Linked DNA regions of Diceros bicornis minor. The protein of the gene in region 1 purifies or fractionates together with the protein of each later gene. This does not show direct contact. Links are inferred from orthologs where the notes say so. Each region holds a gene or a part of one and is shown on either strand. Other genes may lie near its edges.

The links.
Region 2: the proteins of DHX38 (region 1) and PPP4R3A purify together in Homo sapiens (co-immunoprecipitation; 3 studies listed by BioGRID and IntAct, with this or other methods). This does not show direct contact. The link is inferred for Diceros bicornis minor from reciprocal best matches to the Homo sapiens genes DHX38 and PPP4R3A.

The regions. Positions count from the first base shown.
Region 1 is NC_080771.1:23,320,630-23,328,351, reverse strand, and holds the start of DHX38 (pre-mRNA-splicing factor ATP-dependent RNA helicase PRP16), read left to right. Parts: upstream 1-4,722; 5' UTR 4,723-4,995; intron 4,996-5,131; exon of another isoform or gene 5,132-5,287; intron 5,288-7,031; 5' UTR 7,032-7,050; coding exon 7,051-7,373; intron 7,374-7,722. Other genes in the region: TXNL4B (thioredoxin-like protein 4B), read right to left, coding at 1,731-1,862. UniProt on the Homo sapiens protein: Probable ATP-binding RNA helicase. Involved in pre-mRNA splicing as component of the spliceosome.
Region 2 is NC_080763.1:37,456,791-37,465,105, reverse strand, and holds the start of PPP4R3A (serine/threonine-protein phosphatase 4 regulatory subunit 3A), read left to right. Parts: upstream 1-4,693; 5' UTR 4,694-4,952; coding exon of another isoform or gene 4,953-5,057; 5' UTR 5,058-5,212; coding exon 5,213-5,354; intron 5,355-8,315. Other genes in the region: uncharacterized protein LOC131421176, read right to left, coding at 3,973-4,693, 4,953-5,057. UniProt on the Homo sapiens protein: Regulatory subunit of serine/threonine-protein phosphatase 4. May regulate the activity of PPP4C at centrosomal microtubule organizing centers.

The DNA.
Region 1 (7,722 bases):
AAACAAACAAACAAACAAATAAATAAATAAATAAATTCCTAGGCCCAGAATCTAGCCTGCTTGAATTCCACATTAGACACAGTGTAACCTTATCATTCAGAGTCTGAATCACTGTTGGGAGGGTTATGAGAAGGCCCTGGGTAAATCGTGTGAACATATTTCTTCATTTTTTTTTTCTATTTTTGACTATAAAGGTTTTTTTTTTTTTGCTGAGGAAGATTCACCCTGAGCTAATATCCATGCCAATCATCCTCTATTTTTTAGTATGTGGGCCAGCAAAACAACACGGCTGCTAACAGAGTGGTGTAGGTCCACGCCCGGGAAGGGAACCCAGGCTGCTGGAGCAGAGCACGCCGAACTAGGCCCCTGGGGCTGGCCCTGACTGTAAAGTTTTTATAAACTTTTTATGGATTTATCAAATCCATGCTCACTTAAACAAAAACACAAAACAATTCAGAAGTATGTACTAGACACTGAAATTCCCCCAAGTCTCTTTCCTTCCAACCCCCCCATAAATGATAATTATAATAGCAAACACCTACATGGCACTTAAGATGTGCTAACTGTCCTAAGTGCTTTACACTTGTTAACTCCTTTAATCCTTACAACATTTCTTTTTTTTTTTTTTTAAATATTTTATTTATTTATTTTTCCCCTCCAAAGCCCCAGTAGATTGTTGTAGGTCATAGCTGCACATCCTTCTAGTTGCTGTATGTGGGACGCGGCCTCAGCATGGCCGGAGAAGCGGTGCGTCGGTGGGTGCCTGGGATCCGAACCCGGGCCGCCAGCAGCGGAGCGCGCGCACTTAACCGTTAAGTCACGGGGCCGGCCCTTACAACATTTCTATGAGGTATACACTATTACAGTTCCCATGTCACAGGTGAGGAGACCGAGGCACAGGGAGGTAATCTGCCCCTTGTCACACAGCTAGTTAGTATTAAGGCTGGGATTTGAACTCAGGCAGCTTCAGAGTTTATACCTTTGACCCCTAGTGATAGTCCCTCTCTGCTACAGCTGAGGGTGTAATCCTCTGGCCCTTCCCCCCAGGTAACGCATCACACACTCATTTTCAATCACAGTAATGAGGATTCTTAAAATTGATCCACATAGTGGGTGTCAGTAATAAAAATGGTGGAAGAGGTCTTAGTCCAGGGTAAGTCTCTCTCCATAATAAACAGAGACAAGAATAAACCTACTCTGTCCCATACTCCCCACCAACTCATCAGAGTGTGAAGATGTGCTGTGAAAACACAGATTATCATCAGGCATACACTGGAGGCAGCACACTAGAAAAGCATATTTGCAGGCAGAGGAAGCGAAGCTCAAATCCCAGCTCTGCCATGTAGTGGTTCTGTGCCTGTGGGAAGTCACTGATCTCCCCGGCATTCACCTGCTCCTCTGGGAACAGTAATAGTAATTATCTAACTGTTGTGAGCAATAAGATGATGTTCACAGATGCTTGTTATTAACGTTTTCTGCTCTTCGCTGCCTTGTTGGTGATGCTGAGCTTCGACTGCTGTTAGTGGGGAAGCACATCCAGGACAGGCTCAGCACAATCCCAGTTTAGGGGTGCAGCTCAGGGCAGACACACGATCAACTCTTAAAGTGTGCTAATGAATGAAGGGCTACATCCCTGGGCCCTGCCTGCTCCCTTTCATGCACTTTGCAGATGTTGAAGTGAGAATGTATAGATTTTTAATGAAAACCATTTCTTGTAAAAATTCACTTACAATATCATCTAGCTGCAGACAGACAGGATCCTCGTCTCTCCCAAACCTGAGGACCAGCACCTTCTCTGCAGTACTTTTTATCACCTGGTCTACTTCTTTTTTGCTAGTCAGCTTGGGCAACAGGAAGCTCATCTTGAAATAATCCAAATATTAATCCTCACTGTTAGTCCTAAAATCAAGTCGTAATGTTTAAAGACAGTTAGACTTAGTGCATGAGTCCTAGTTAAACAAATTAAAAAGCTTTGGAATAGGTAATATATTCAGATGGTTTAAAAAGAAACAATATAGAAAGACCTACTGTGAAAAAATCCCTTCCTCCGGCCCAGTTCTCAGTGCCCCATTCCCCCCGACACCAGGTAACTACTTTCATTAGTTTCTCATGTATCTTCCAGAGTTTTGTTATGCATTCACAAGAAAAGACAAATATGCATTCCTATGGTTTCTCCCTTTTTTACCCAAAAGATAGCCTATTGTATCAGTCAGTTTTCCAGCAGGAGAGAGATGACATCCTCAAATTTGGTAATTTGAAGAGACTTTCATTAAGGCAGGGTGTAGGAAACAACAGGTACAGTGCTGTACTCTGGGGCTAGTCACAGTAGGGCGCTGTTCCCACATGAGGCCTGAGGGAGCCACGGGAGGGAGGAGTTAGCAGAACTGTGTGGGAGGACTGCTGAATGGAGAAGGCCGCTGTAGAGGAGGCCAGCCTGCAGTTAAAGGACGCAGCCACTCTCCTCCCTCCCTCTGATCTGCTAATGCTCCCACTGGCTGCCTCCCTCTGGAATCAGAGGGCAGGGGAGCTGCAGAAGCAGGCAAGCCTCCTGTCCCACAGCAGTCTAGAGAAGGAGGAAGAGTGGATCTGGAGGAGCAAACGACAGATGTCCTGCACATACAATTTACCCACTCCTCTGCGCTTTACACCTTTTTACCTAACATAAGAAGATCTTCCCCTATCGCTACACAGAAAACTTCACATTCTTTGTCACAGCAGCATTCTATCTCATGTATGGACCATACTTTTCAAACAGTCCTTTACTGACGAACATTTGTATTACCATGAGTCCTGGCTTAAAGATTCTTGGTGCATATCTTACTAGGTGCACCTATCTTACCACATGGCAAACACCGATTAAGTGTGTGTGAAAACCACATAAAAATAAACAAATCGTAAAATACTGAGATAGAAGGGGCCTAATCTAACTCCCTCAATTTACATACTTGTTTGTTTATAGTTACACTCTTAGCTAAAGAACTAGGACTAGAATCCAGGCCACCAGATTTCTACTTCAGCATTCTTTCTACTACAATAAGCTCCTATTTTTATGACTGAGAAACTCTTTGATCAAGGAGCTTTATTTTTGAGTCCATCCATGAGAGACTCCATCGAGATACTTGATATTTTGAATTCATTTCCAAAGTTGGCTAAAGCTAATAAAAGGGAGGATTTCTTTCTGTATTTTTTTTTGTGACAAGTCACATTTTAAGATATGAATTAATAAAAATTCACATAGGAAATGAAATAGTTCCAGTAACAGGTCATACTTTACAAAGGGAAGTTGATTGCCAGATGGGACTTCATCAAATGTGAGTGGCAGAATAAATTACTGATGAGAGGGAAAGTCGAAGAAAAGATGGCTCTGTCCCACCACTAGAATTCAAACTAACAGCAACTCCCCTATGTTACTGATGAAGAGGAGGAAGTGAGGGGAGGACAAAGCTTCAATAGGAGGGGAACCTGGGGGTTGGAGAGGTGTGGGGTGGGACTGGATAAATGTTGGAAAGAGGAGAGAGAAACTGAGACCATACCTAAGAAAATGTCCATAGCGAAGGATAACAACAGCGAATTCACAAAAGAAGAGGTACAAATGGACAAATATATTTGGAAAGTTAAGATTTACTACTAAGCAAAGGAAAGCAAGTTAAATGATATATTTAAAAAAGCCATTAAATTGGCAAAGATTAAACAATGATGGCAGGAGTGTGAGTGAAGGGGCAGGCATTCATAGTCTCTGCTGGAATGTAGAGGAGCAAAACTTCTCTAGAAAGAAAACTGAAATACTCTTTGGCTAACAATGCCATTTCTGAGAATTCCTTCTTAGTAAGTAATCAGACGTGTGCACAAAGATTTAAATAAAGGACATCCATCACATTTATAACGGTGAAAAACCGGAAACAACCTAAATGGCCATCAATAGGGGACTGGTAAAATAAATGACAGTGCAGTCCTGCCATGTACTATTATAGAGTCGTTAAATATTGTGTTAGAGATGAACACTGCAGATACTGAAGTTCTCCATGAAGAAAAATGTTATAAAATAGTATATGAAGATCCCCTTTTGTACAAAACCTAACTATAACGCATCTGTACATGTTAACATAGAAAAATAACTGGAAATGAATATCCCAACACACCATCAGTGGTAATCTCTGCGTGTGAACAGACGAGTGATTTTTATTTACATTGGGGTGCGCGTCTTTACTTCTCCAAAATACCCGACGTATATGTTTTTAACGATGCCTGTGATTAGGCTATTCCTGGCCCACAACTGCCAGGGAAGATGATACTCACTTTACTTGTACAAGTCACTTCCCTCTTTTCCACTTCAGGGCTGTCGGCACCTCCGACCCTTCTCCAAAAAGCCGGGACGCGGGCGGCTCCTTTCTTCCGTCCCAACCGCCGCAGCGACCCTACTCCAAAGTACCCCCAGGGGCTGATGCCTAGCAACCCTCAGCGGCCCACTTGAGGGGACGGAAACGGAAAGAGAAAACGCACAGCCGCAGTAGACGGACGCGAAACAGTCCCCACTCAAGCGCTCAACAACAAGAACAGACTGTTCTAGTCACCGCCTCCTCCCCCGGCTCTAACCGGAAGCCTTAGAGTCACTTCCGCCCTTATTAAACATGACCGACCTCTCTGCCTCTCCTTCCCCCTTCTCCGACTAGAGGCGGGCCTTCGCCTCTTAGACTAAGCGTGATTGGTCGCAAGGAGACTCGGAAGTGTCTCTGATCAGAGCCCCACAGGAGGGCACTCTAGCCTTGAGAGCGTGGTCGCGTTGTGTCCCACACAGGGAGCCCGGAACTGGCGTTTTCCGGGCTGCTCTCGATGGTACCCTTGGACAGATAGAGGGGACCGCGCAGCGTTTCATGGGACAATAATGGCGGCTTTCGAGGTTGAGGTTTTGGCTCTTTAAGGCGGTCTGAGCCAGGAGTGGCGGCACCGGCGCCCCAGAATCCGGGACAGAAGGTCCCGAGAGTCGGGCTTGGTGAGGTGAGTGTCCCTTCTTCCTTCCTGACGTGCCCTTCGCCAATCATGGCGGCTCCAGGCGGCGGATATCAGTCCCTCGCTCAGGTTCTGGCCTGGGTTTGGCAAGTCTTGTCCCTGTCACCCAACTTGCCTCACTCACCCTAAGGATGCTGCGCCAGTCCGTCGTGCCCCGGCCTTTCTCCTTGCTCTGGTCAGATCCTGCTGCCTGGGGCGGCCTCACTGGGGTCCAGGGATGCTGCCCGGGGTCCACCCTTCCTCAGGTCTCGGCATTAGCTCCCTCCCAGACGGACGCCGAGCCCAAGTAGGGCTCCTTGTGTCTTCCTCTTCCGTCACAGTGTATCTCTACCAGGCCATGTCTTCTACGAGAATATCAACTCCAAGAGGGCGGGGCATTTGTCTGTCTGTTCTCTGCTCCATCCTATTGCCCAGAACAGCGATTGACTCACAGAACGCACTCAATGAATAATTGTTGGATGAGTAAATCCAGTTTCTTTCTTCATCGTTTTTCTCCTATCCCTTGTGGCTTCTTTGCCATTAATCCTTCTCCGGAATCTAGCCCTTAACTCCTTATTTGTTCTGCTCAGCAGCGAGTTAAGTCTGTCAGACTCCTTGTCCTGTGCTGCTGGTATCTTCCCTTGCTGTCTGTAGAAATGTTTGGCCTCTCATCTCTTATAATCAGTTTAAACTCATTTATTCATTTATTCATCAGACTTTTATTTTGCTAGGTACTGGGCATAGCAGTCAACAAGACAAGGTTCTCTCTCCTGCATAGAATGACGTTCTAGGGATATATTTTCTAGTTCAGACTACTGGTGAGCAGAGTCTGTATATCTTACCTTCCTATTTAGATATCCTCACATGCGGACAGATGTTACCAATATGCAGCTTCCTTTTCTATTCTGCCTGATGGCATTTTTCAAAATTCATCTCTTGTTTCTGTCCATGTTATGAGTCTGGTCTGTTTGGCAATATTCTTCTATAGAGCTGTGCATGTTAATTAGAGCTGGGCAACACCTTCTGGATTCTGGTGGTACCCTACCCCTTGACAGTTCCTTTGCTTCACTGACTTGTTGGAATGAGGAGAATTATCCAAGCACTCAGAATTGAGTATGTTTATAAACGGATGGTGTGTAGCGGGAGGTAAAGAGGAATTTGGTACAAGTTGAATGCGAGGAAATCTTGCAGTCACCTTGATACTTTTTAGAAACATTGTTTCCCAGCCTAGTGCTTCTCATCAGTATTTGTGGTGAACATGGATTGTTATTAAACAGATTTTGACTGCTGTGAGGTTTTTCTTTTCTACAAAACACAACTAATGTATGGATCACATGGATAGTAGCCTTGTACCCCACTATCTCTACTTTGCTGTATCTGTAGTTTAAAGGGAGGGACAAGTAGAAGAACTCATGTAAAAAAATGATAAGAGACTCATTCGGTATATAGGAGCACAGCAAATAATGTAACAGTTCCGTTTGTGTAGTTTTTATGGTTACAGAGAGCATTCAGATGCACTTCCTTGTTTGATTCTCACAACAACTTCATGGATTAGATAAAGCAAAAATTATTTCCATTTTACAGATATAGAAATTATGCCTAACCACAGATTAAGTTATTTTTACAATCATACAGGTAGAAAATGTCAAGAGCCTGGATTCTAATTATGGTTTCTGACTACAAATCTTTTGGTATTTCCCCTATACTCCCTTTATAGATGCCACCAGGCTTTAGTAAGTGTCCCTTAGTGAGGTCTGTTCTTGCCTGGATGATATCCTCTTGGATCCTGGTGTTTGGCTTGCGTGTGTGGGCTGTGTGTGTGTGTATCTATTTCTGATGTGTCTTGGGGTGGTGGTAAGAGGATCTTTTGAGATTGTCAATGACTTGATGGCAAGGTCTTGGCAAGAGATAGCTAAAGTAATCCTGGCCTTGAGATGGAGGTTAACTCCCTAAATATACCTATAACTACAATTATCCTTGGATATAGCCGAGCCAAACTTTCTCTCCACTTATGTCTAATACCAAGTGATTTGTCTTCCTTCCAGAGAAATCTCAGAGCCTGTCATGGAGGACACCAGTGAGGATGCCTCGATCCATCGATTGGAAGGCACTGATCTGGACTCTCAGGTTGGCGGTCTTATTTGCAAGACCAAAAGTGCAGCCAGTGAGCAACATGTCTTCAAGGCCCCTGCTCCTCGCCCTTCATTGCTGGGACTGGACTTATTGGCTTCCTTGAAACGAAGGGAGCGAGAGGAGAAGGATGATGGGGAGGACAAGAAGAAGTCCAGAATCTCTTCCTACAAGGACTGGGAAGAGAGCAAGGATGACCAGAGGGACGCTGAGGAGGAGGGCAGTGATCAGGCTGGCCTAAGTAGCCGAAAAGACAGGTAAAGGCCTTAGGGTGGATTGACCCAAAGGGAATGAACATGGAGGCCTGAAAATAACATCCCATGTTTCTCTCTCAGTTTCTTGTTGGACATTTAGAGCTTTATGATTTTATTATGATTTTTTAATATTGAGGCTAGATAGGAAGTGGTATTTTCTTCAGATTTATGGGAAACATTCAAAGGCAACTGAGGAGTAGATGATGGGATTAGAAATGCTTTGCGTTGTCATGTGTAAGTCTGTAGTACCAGGGAGATAAGTGGAAAAGGACAGGTCACTTGTTTGGCGCAGCGAAAGGTTTGGGGCAAGGTTATTTTTCCTATGGAGGGGCTCTTGACCAGCTGCCCTCCC
Region 2 (8,315 bases), on another chromosome or scaffold:
GTTTTGGCTTTTGACGTTTAGGTAAAATGGGAATTTGTTGAAGAATGTGTAGCATATACTGCATATCACTATATTTAGGGATACATATTTCAGAAATACATAATTTTGATAGCAGGGCATTCCCTGGATTGGAGTGAAGAAGTATTTAAACAAATAATTACCCAAATATTTAAGCTATCCACCTATTCCTTCTAATATACATCATTAGTAAAATGGCTATTTATCCTGCTTATATTATTATTCACAGGGGCACACACATAAATGGCTTTTTCTAAGACTAGGGTGATAGATTAAGTATGACAGTTGAACATGAATAAAGCTCTTGGTTAGTTAATGAAAATTAAACATTACAGACTTTTGCTCCTTTTATTATACATCTCTATCGACAAAGTACCAATTGGGTTTCCAGCAGGAATACCTATCAGTACTACACCTGTACAAGCTGTACTTTTAGGAGAGCTTGTATTTACCACATTTTTGATGAAAAGGAATGTTAAACACATCTGAAATCTATATAAAAAGCTATTCAAGAGAAAGGACAAGTACTTTCCTCTTTAAGTTCTTTTTTTGATAGAAACCTGCACAATGAAAAGAACAGAGAATAAATCATAGTAATTTTGATTGTGATTTCCATCCCAGTATCTTAATTCCCAAGCATGGTAACTGAATGATAGACTTACGGAATTTTTTCAATTTAATCTGTTCTTCATAAATATATTTGCCACTTGTTTTGCTTATTGTTAACACATGAAGAATTGCTAGTCAGCATTTTGTGAGATGGTTTTTTATATTTATCTTTTTTGTGAGGAAGATCAGCCCTGAGCTAACATCCATGCTAATCCTCCTCTTTTTGCTGAGGAAGACCGGCTCTGAGCTAATATCTATTGCCAATCCTCCTTTTTTTTCCCCCAAAGCCACAGTAGATAGCTTTATGTCATAGTTGCACATCCTTCTAGTTGCTGTACGTGGGATGCGGCCTCAGCACGGCTGGAGAAGCGGTGCCTCGGTGTGTGCCCGGGATCCGAACCCCGGGCCACCAGTAGCGGAGCGCTGCGCACTTAACCGCTAAGCCACGGGGCCAGCCCCTGTGAGATGGTTTTTATATTTAAAGAAATGAATTGTGGGTGCTAGTGTGTTCTAAGCCGGTCCTAGTCTGTTGTTGCTCCAGCTTTTATCTAAAATCCCTTTATTTTCTGATTTGTTCATGATAACATTATGTTAAGGATAGGATAAGAGAAACCGTAATATTTTTTCACAAGTATTACATACCAAATTAAATATTTACATAACTTATGAAAATAATTTAAAACAAAAATGGATGACTGCTGGAATATTTTTCTATTTTTTTTATTTTCATCTATTTATATTACACAGTGCTATGTAATAAAATGCTCATATATAGTCATATTGGCATCTGCTTTCATGGAAGAATTTCTATTATTCTTACCATCATTGCTGCACATTTACAGAATTTGAAAGCTTGAAGTGTCCTCAAAGATCATCTCATCAGGATTAAAAAACTGAGGCCCAAAAAGGTTAAGTGTCTTATCCTAGACCACCAATTTAGTGGCTGGACCACAATTAGGGCTGACTCTCCTAACACGTGGTGCCACGCCCTTCCCCCCATACAGACACCAGTATCTTCCCGGTCAAACATGGTAGTCACCTATGTGGATGGCACATTCTGGAGTTAGGCAGTGCACAATCCAGCAGCTTTGCCCGTTCTCTCCAGGGTTTTTAGTTTGGAGCAGGCAACACTATGAAATGATGACTGCAACATGGATAAAGGTAAGTAACATAGGGTAGGTATAAATATCATATAATGAATTGGCTCCACAGCATATCTTACAAGTTTATGTTATGCATGTAGGTGAACGTACAAGGTTCAGGGGAAATGCTTATGTTTAGAGCACAGGAGGAATCAGTATCTTACTTAATCTTTATAATGACCTTAGAAGTTATTATTATTCCTATCTTACAAGTGAGGAAACGGAGACACAGAGAGGTTAAGAAACTTGCAAATATCACACAGCTACCAAGAGGCAGGACCTGGACTCACAATCTAACACCCACACCCTTGACCACTATGACAATGTATCTCAACCTTTTGTGATTTGCACCCCTCCTTATTGAACTCCATTAGGAATTTTCTTAAATTGTATCACCATTTGTGCATGGCATATGATTACGCAATTATAAATTATTTGTTTACTACTATGATGGTTAGTTTTATGTCAATTTGGCGAGGCTATACTACCCAGTTATTCAACCAAACACTAATCTAGGTGTTGCTGTGAGGGTATTTTGTAGACGTGACTTTAAGTAAGGGAGATTATCCTCAGTAATCTGGGTGGGCCTCATCCAATCAGTGGAAAGGCCTTAAAACCAAAACTGAGGTTTCCCTCAGGAAGAAGAAATTCTGTCTGTGGACTGCAGTGTCAGCTCCTGCCCAAGGGATTCTAGCCTGCTGCTGACCTGCCCTACGTATTTCAGACCTGCCTAGCCAGACCCCACTATTATATAGACAAATTCCTCAAAATCGCCGTGTAGATGTATCCTACTGGTTGTTTGTCTGGTAGAACCTTGACTGATACAACTCAACTGTTATTTAAGATTATATTAAAGAGTTCATTTAAACATAATTGTTAATATTACTTACACATATAATTTTAAATCTTCTTTCCATTTAATAAATGATTCCTGCTGTTTAATTTACCTTAAAAGGACATTATAAGAAAAAGTATGATTTTTTGCCACAAATTATTTCATGCTTGGTTTGGGGATCAAATAATAACATGTAAATAAATTTAATGATGTCTTACTGCATCAAAAGTGGACAAAATTGCAGTCATGCCCTAATGGTTGAAATTTTACTTTTTAGAAAAAAAAATTGCCTTGTTTTTATAATTTTCCAGTTTTGTTTGTAAATGATGAAAGTCTCAGGCTGCTCTTTGCAAGCAGCTCTTTCTATGTGACACGCTGAGGAAGGCCCCAACTTCTGATCTTAAAACTGAAAATCCCACATTCTGGGAAACCACTCAGCCTTGGTCATGTTATCAGGGCAAGTGAAACTCAAACTACATTGTAGGTTTGATATGAGATTCCTGGTGATATTAAGCACCTGCACCTGCCAAAATGGTAGCCACTAGCCACGTGTGGCCACTGAGCACTTGAAATGTCGCTAGTGCTACCGAAGAACTGAATTTTAACCTCTAATTTTAATTAAATTTTAAATTTAAAAATTGATACTTGATTCGTTTTTGGAAAAATTTTAAGTATGTTTGAAATAACTTGAATATATGAATCTACTTTTTCAATTGTAAATTTTAATGAAATCTAAACACAGATCAGGTGCTTCCAAAAAAAAATTTAGCATCCAAATGGAAACTTACACTGAGGACAAAATACACATCATATTTTGAACTTAGTATATCCTTTGGAAAAAAGGAAGGTAAAATATCTCAATAATTTTATCCTGATATTTTAAAGGTACTGCATTCAATAAAATACATAATGAATATAAATTTCAACAGTTTCTTCATACTTTTTTAAAAAGTGGCTACTATAAAATTTAAAATTACCTATGTGGCCCACGTTTTACTTCCAGTGGACAGTGATGACCTACACAGCCTGGCAAATAGTAAAAGCCCCCAAAATGGTGGCTATTATTTGCATGACAGGAATGAGAATGTTCCTTTGTGAAGATCAGCACTGCTTAACATCTAACGTCGGGAATTACTCATCCTGATTATACCGTATCGTACCTGTTTTTCTAAGCCCCGCAAGTCCTTTTGGCAACACTGAGGGCTAGAAAAATAAGAGTTCTGATAAAGGAATGGAGGTAGCAGGTGGATTGTGAGATAAGGTTTTAGACCAAGCCCAGAAAGTGAAAACTGTCCCGAGTTTCTAGACTGGCCACATCGATGCCCCATGGCACATCCCAAGACCTGAGCCTGACCTCGCTGCCCAAACCTGTGGCCTCTCCCGTAAGCTTTTCCATTTCTTCCCAAAGGAGAAGCGCCTGAGGTCCGCGAGCCCCAAAGGCGGCCCGGAGAAGACCCTCGCGGGGGCGGGCGCGCCGCGGGGCAGCCCCAGGCCGTAGCGGCGCGGCGGCCGCAGGGCAGGGGCAGCGGCGGCTGGACGGTGACGCGCACGGGAGGGCAGCAGCCCGACTCCGATGCCGAGGCGCCCAGCGCACGGCGGGCAGAGAGCCGGCCGGCTGCAGACGCAAGCTCCACGCCCCTTCCGAATCCCCGAGCGGGGTGATGACGAACACAGCGCGCGACGGACGCACACGCCGCCCCGCGCTCGCACGGCGGTGCGTGCAGGGAGCGCGAGGGAGCCCCGGGCCGTCACCGGCGTCGCGACCAGCGATCCGCCTCCTCCGCTCCTTGCGTTCCCGCCACCTCGGCGATTCGGCGCCCGCCTCCCGCCTCCGTCCGAGGCCTCCGCCGCAGCGACGCTCCTGGCCTCGCTCCTGTCTCTTTAAATGGTGGGGCCAACGGGCCGCCCCTGCAGCTGCTGCCTGGGTGGCCCCGCGCGCCGTTATTGAGGGCGAACCAAGATGGCGGCGGCTTTGGCTGTGTGAGGAAGACGGAAGAGGTGGCGGCAGCGCCGAGGGGAAAGGGACTTCCAGGAGGTCGGAGCTCTCGGGCGCCGGGGGCTCTCGGAGTCTCCCGCGCAGTGGTGGCAGCTACAGCGGGGACAGGCGCTCGTCGGCCTCGGACATTTGAAGCGGCGGAGCGAAGCGGAGCCGCCGGCAGCGGCGGCAGGGCCGGGTAGAGGGAAGGAAAACATGGCGGCGGCGGCCTGAGGAGGCGGCGGCGGCCTGAGGAGGCGGCGGCGGCGGCGCGGGAAGCGGCTTCGCGGCGATCATGGCGGAGGCGGGAGCAGGGCAGTGACCGGCGCCCCGAGTTCCTCCCGCGGCGGGGCGGGCGGCTGCGGAGCCTTACGCTCCCCCGTCGGGGCGGCCGGGCTCGCCGGGCCCGCACAATAGCGCCGAGGAGCGGAGGCGAGGAGAGGCGGCGGCCCGGAGCGCGGGCCCCGGAGCGGGCCATGCGGGCGGCAGCGCGGCCCCGCGGCGGCCAGCGGCGGCAGTGAGGCCGGGGCGCCCTCCGCTTGCAGGCGTCCTCCCGCCGCGGCGCCCGCCTGTCCCGGACTCCCTTCCCGGGCGAGTCGGCGGGGCCTCTGGCCTGGCCCCCCGGGCGGCACGATGACCGACACCCGGCGGCGAGTGAAGGTGTACACGCTCAACGAGGACCGACAGTGGGACGACAGGGGCACCGGGCATGTGTCGTCCGGCTACGTGGAGCGGCTGAAGGGCATGTCCCTGCTTGTCAGGGCCGAGAGCGACGGTAAGTGGGACCCTCGCCTCCCCCGCGGTCATGGGCCACCTCCCTCGTTCTTGGGGGACCTCTCCCTACGAGAACCGAGGGGGCGGCTGCCGCCTCGGGGGAGGGCGCGCCACCGGTCCCCCAGCCCTCCCGGAGCTACACGAGAGCCCTGGAAAGATTTCCTGTCTCCGAGCGCCTGGGGAACACTCGGGCTGCGAGCGGAGCCGGGCATGTTTGAGCGGTGCCTCCTGGGAGCGTGGAGAGGTCGGGGACCTGGGACCGGGACTGTTCTTTTGCACTCGAGTGACCTTGAGAAAGGCACTGATTAATGCGATCTTTTGCCTTAGTTCACCCATCTGGAAAGCAGGCACGAAACTTTTCTCGGAGCTAAGCAAGTTCCTGGCTGTTTCACTCTTTGGAGAACATTTTGGTGTGCTTTTTCTTCTTTCTTTAAAAACATGTTTTTGCTACATCTTTCTGATCCTCTTTGCAGGTTGGCAACACTGGTTCACGGATCTGGCAAGTCTACACTCGGCAGAGAACTTGCTGCTTTGCCGTGAGAAGATAGATTTGTGTTCCCCGGTGTTAGCTGCCTTTTTCATTAGTAACGCAGAATTTTGTTTGTAGTTTCGCTGTGTAAAAGTCTTCTAAGTTTGGAATCATTGTATGCGAGCTGTTTTGATTGCTTGAATGTATATTCATAATTTGGTTCAGTTAACAGGTAGGGACGCTTCATGTATTTTGAAAGAGCCCTCAAGGTTCAAAGATCAAGTTGTTTGAAAATAAGTGTTTCCCTGTTTTTAAAGATTTACGGGATTGCCACTTCCCTCAGTGGCATATACCCTGGATTTCACTTAAAGAAAATGTTTATGTCGGGTAAAACTATTTTCACATTGTCTCTACTGTGAATTTCACTTACAGAAAATGTTCACATCAGGTAAAACTATTTTCAGATTGTTTTTTCTGAATTTGAAAACTTGTTACATTAGTCTATAATTTTATAGCAGTTATTTCAGTTTATTATGCTAGTAGTTTTGTGTCTGAATTGTTACAAATTCATTTCAATGAATTTTAATTGGACTTTATGCAGAACTCCAATTCCATAACAAACAAGATTCACTCTTCTGTAATTGAAGACTCTAGGAACATGGATTTTTAGTTTGAGTCGAAAAGTGGTAATTTGGAGTATATTGCCCACAGGTTACCTCTGTAAGGCCTCCCCATATAACTTAAACCTGGAGAAATATTATTTCCTTTTGGAGGCATTTAAAGGGTCTGAATACATTGGGTATATTTTTCTGAGGCCTATTATCTGACTCGTAAAAGACAAGTTTGAATGTCAGGTGTTAGTGACATACAAAAAAGCACACTATCGAATAGTAACCAACTAACCTCTACATCTTTGGATGTTTGGGAAACTTTTTACATAGTGAGTTGGAAGGTGTGGGCTTTGTAGGTTCATTTAACTTCTTTTGAAATGAAAACATGTAGATTTGAGATCAATTATTTGAAGTCTCGTAATTTAAAATAACACATAAACTTTCACATCATGTGTTCAATTGGACTTACTATACAAAGTCCTTTATTAAAGGATTTTTATGCATTAAGTCTTAGTGTCATACTATCACAGGGAATCATGCTCTACTAACATAGTAATAGGGGAAGTTTTTTTCCAATTTTTATTTTTACCACTTTGGAAATAGCCGCAATGGCTAAAACAAAATGGCTTTAATTTTATCTAATGGGGAAAGAGCTGGAATAAATTAACTGATGGGCCCTTGTTAAATTTAAGTTGTAAGGAAAACTAAATCCAAAGAGTGGGCTTAGAAAATTCCAGGATACTTGTGAGATATTGTTGGAAATAATCTTTAGTTTGATGATTAACGTTTTTTTCTAACAGGAAAACTCCAAATAGGAATAACAGTCTAATAGTTATTGAGTGCTTACCATGTGCCAGAGACTCTTTACTTCTGTCCGGTTGGTGTAGGCACTATTATTAGCCATATATTGCGATTGGGGAAACTGAGGCTCAGAGAGGCTAAGTAACTTAAGATCACACAGCTAGGTTAAGAAGCAAGGTCATTGTTCAAGCTGGGGTGGGGGAAGGGTGCCTGGGTTTGAGTGAGGCATCTAGCCTGTGGCTTGAAATTAGTATCAGTTATTTAATTATTATCATTAAGTGTTTACAGTGTGTTTTAAATTCCCAAATTGCTGTTTATTTGCATTTGCTGCTTTATATTTAGACTCAAAGTTTATCTCAAAGAAAATGAAAACGATTTTTAGCCTAAAGATATTTAAAAGTATAGTTGATCTCTAAGCCACACACTGGAGTTTTTATATTGACTGCCACTTTGGGTTATCCATTATTGTGTGCCTCCTCCATTCTCCGTTATAGGATAATTGAGAATTTTCTTTTTACTGTGATGAGCAAAATGGAAAATATTTTTGATTTTCCATAAAATGAGTCATTTATCTTATTAGAGGAGCTTACACACTTATCTTAAAATCAGGAAGGCAGTTTCTGAATGGAAGTACTTGTGGCCTCCGTGTTACAGAACACATCTGTCTGGGTAAGTATGCCCTTCCCCCCTGAAGCTGAGGCCTGGCAAATCTGTAGCCCACCTTGCCTTGGAAGAGAGAGATGTCCCACCAAGCTACTGAGCCCATTTTCTGGATTGCATCCTTATTCAATAGGTTCCTACTGGCAAAATATGTTGTAGGAACATACCCTTTTCTTTAATGAAAATAAAGTTGTGTGTTCCAAGTCCCTCCTGATTTTGTGAGATTTTTCAGATTTTCTCTCTCAGATTTTATTGTAGCCATGTACCTGCAAATTGCCATCTTCCAATAAAGATTACTTGGTATTATTTTTTCTCCTTGCAGCTTATGCTGTACCTGTTAACTTGCTGAAGTTAGGATAATAGTGTCATCCCTTACATGCTCTCTCACTTTATGTTCAAGTCATTCTAATTCTTTTTTCCG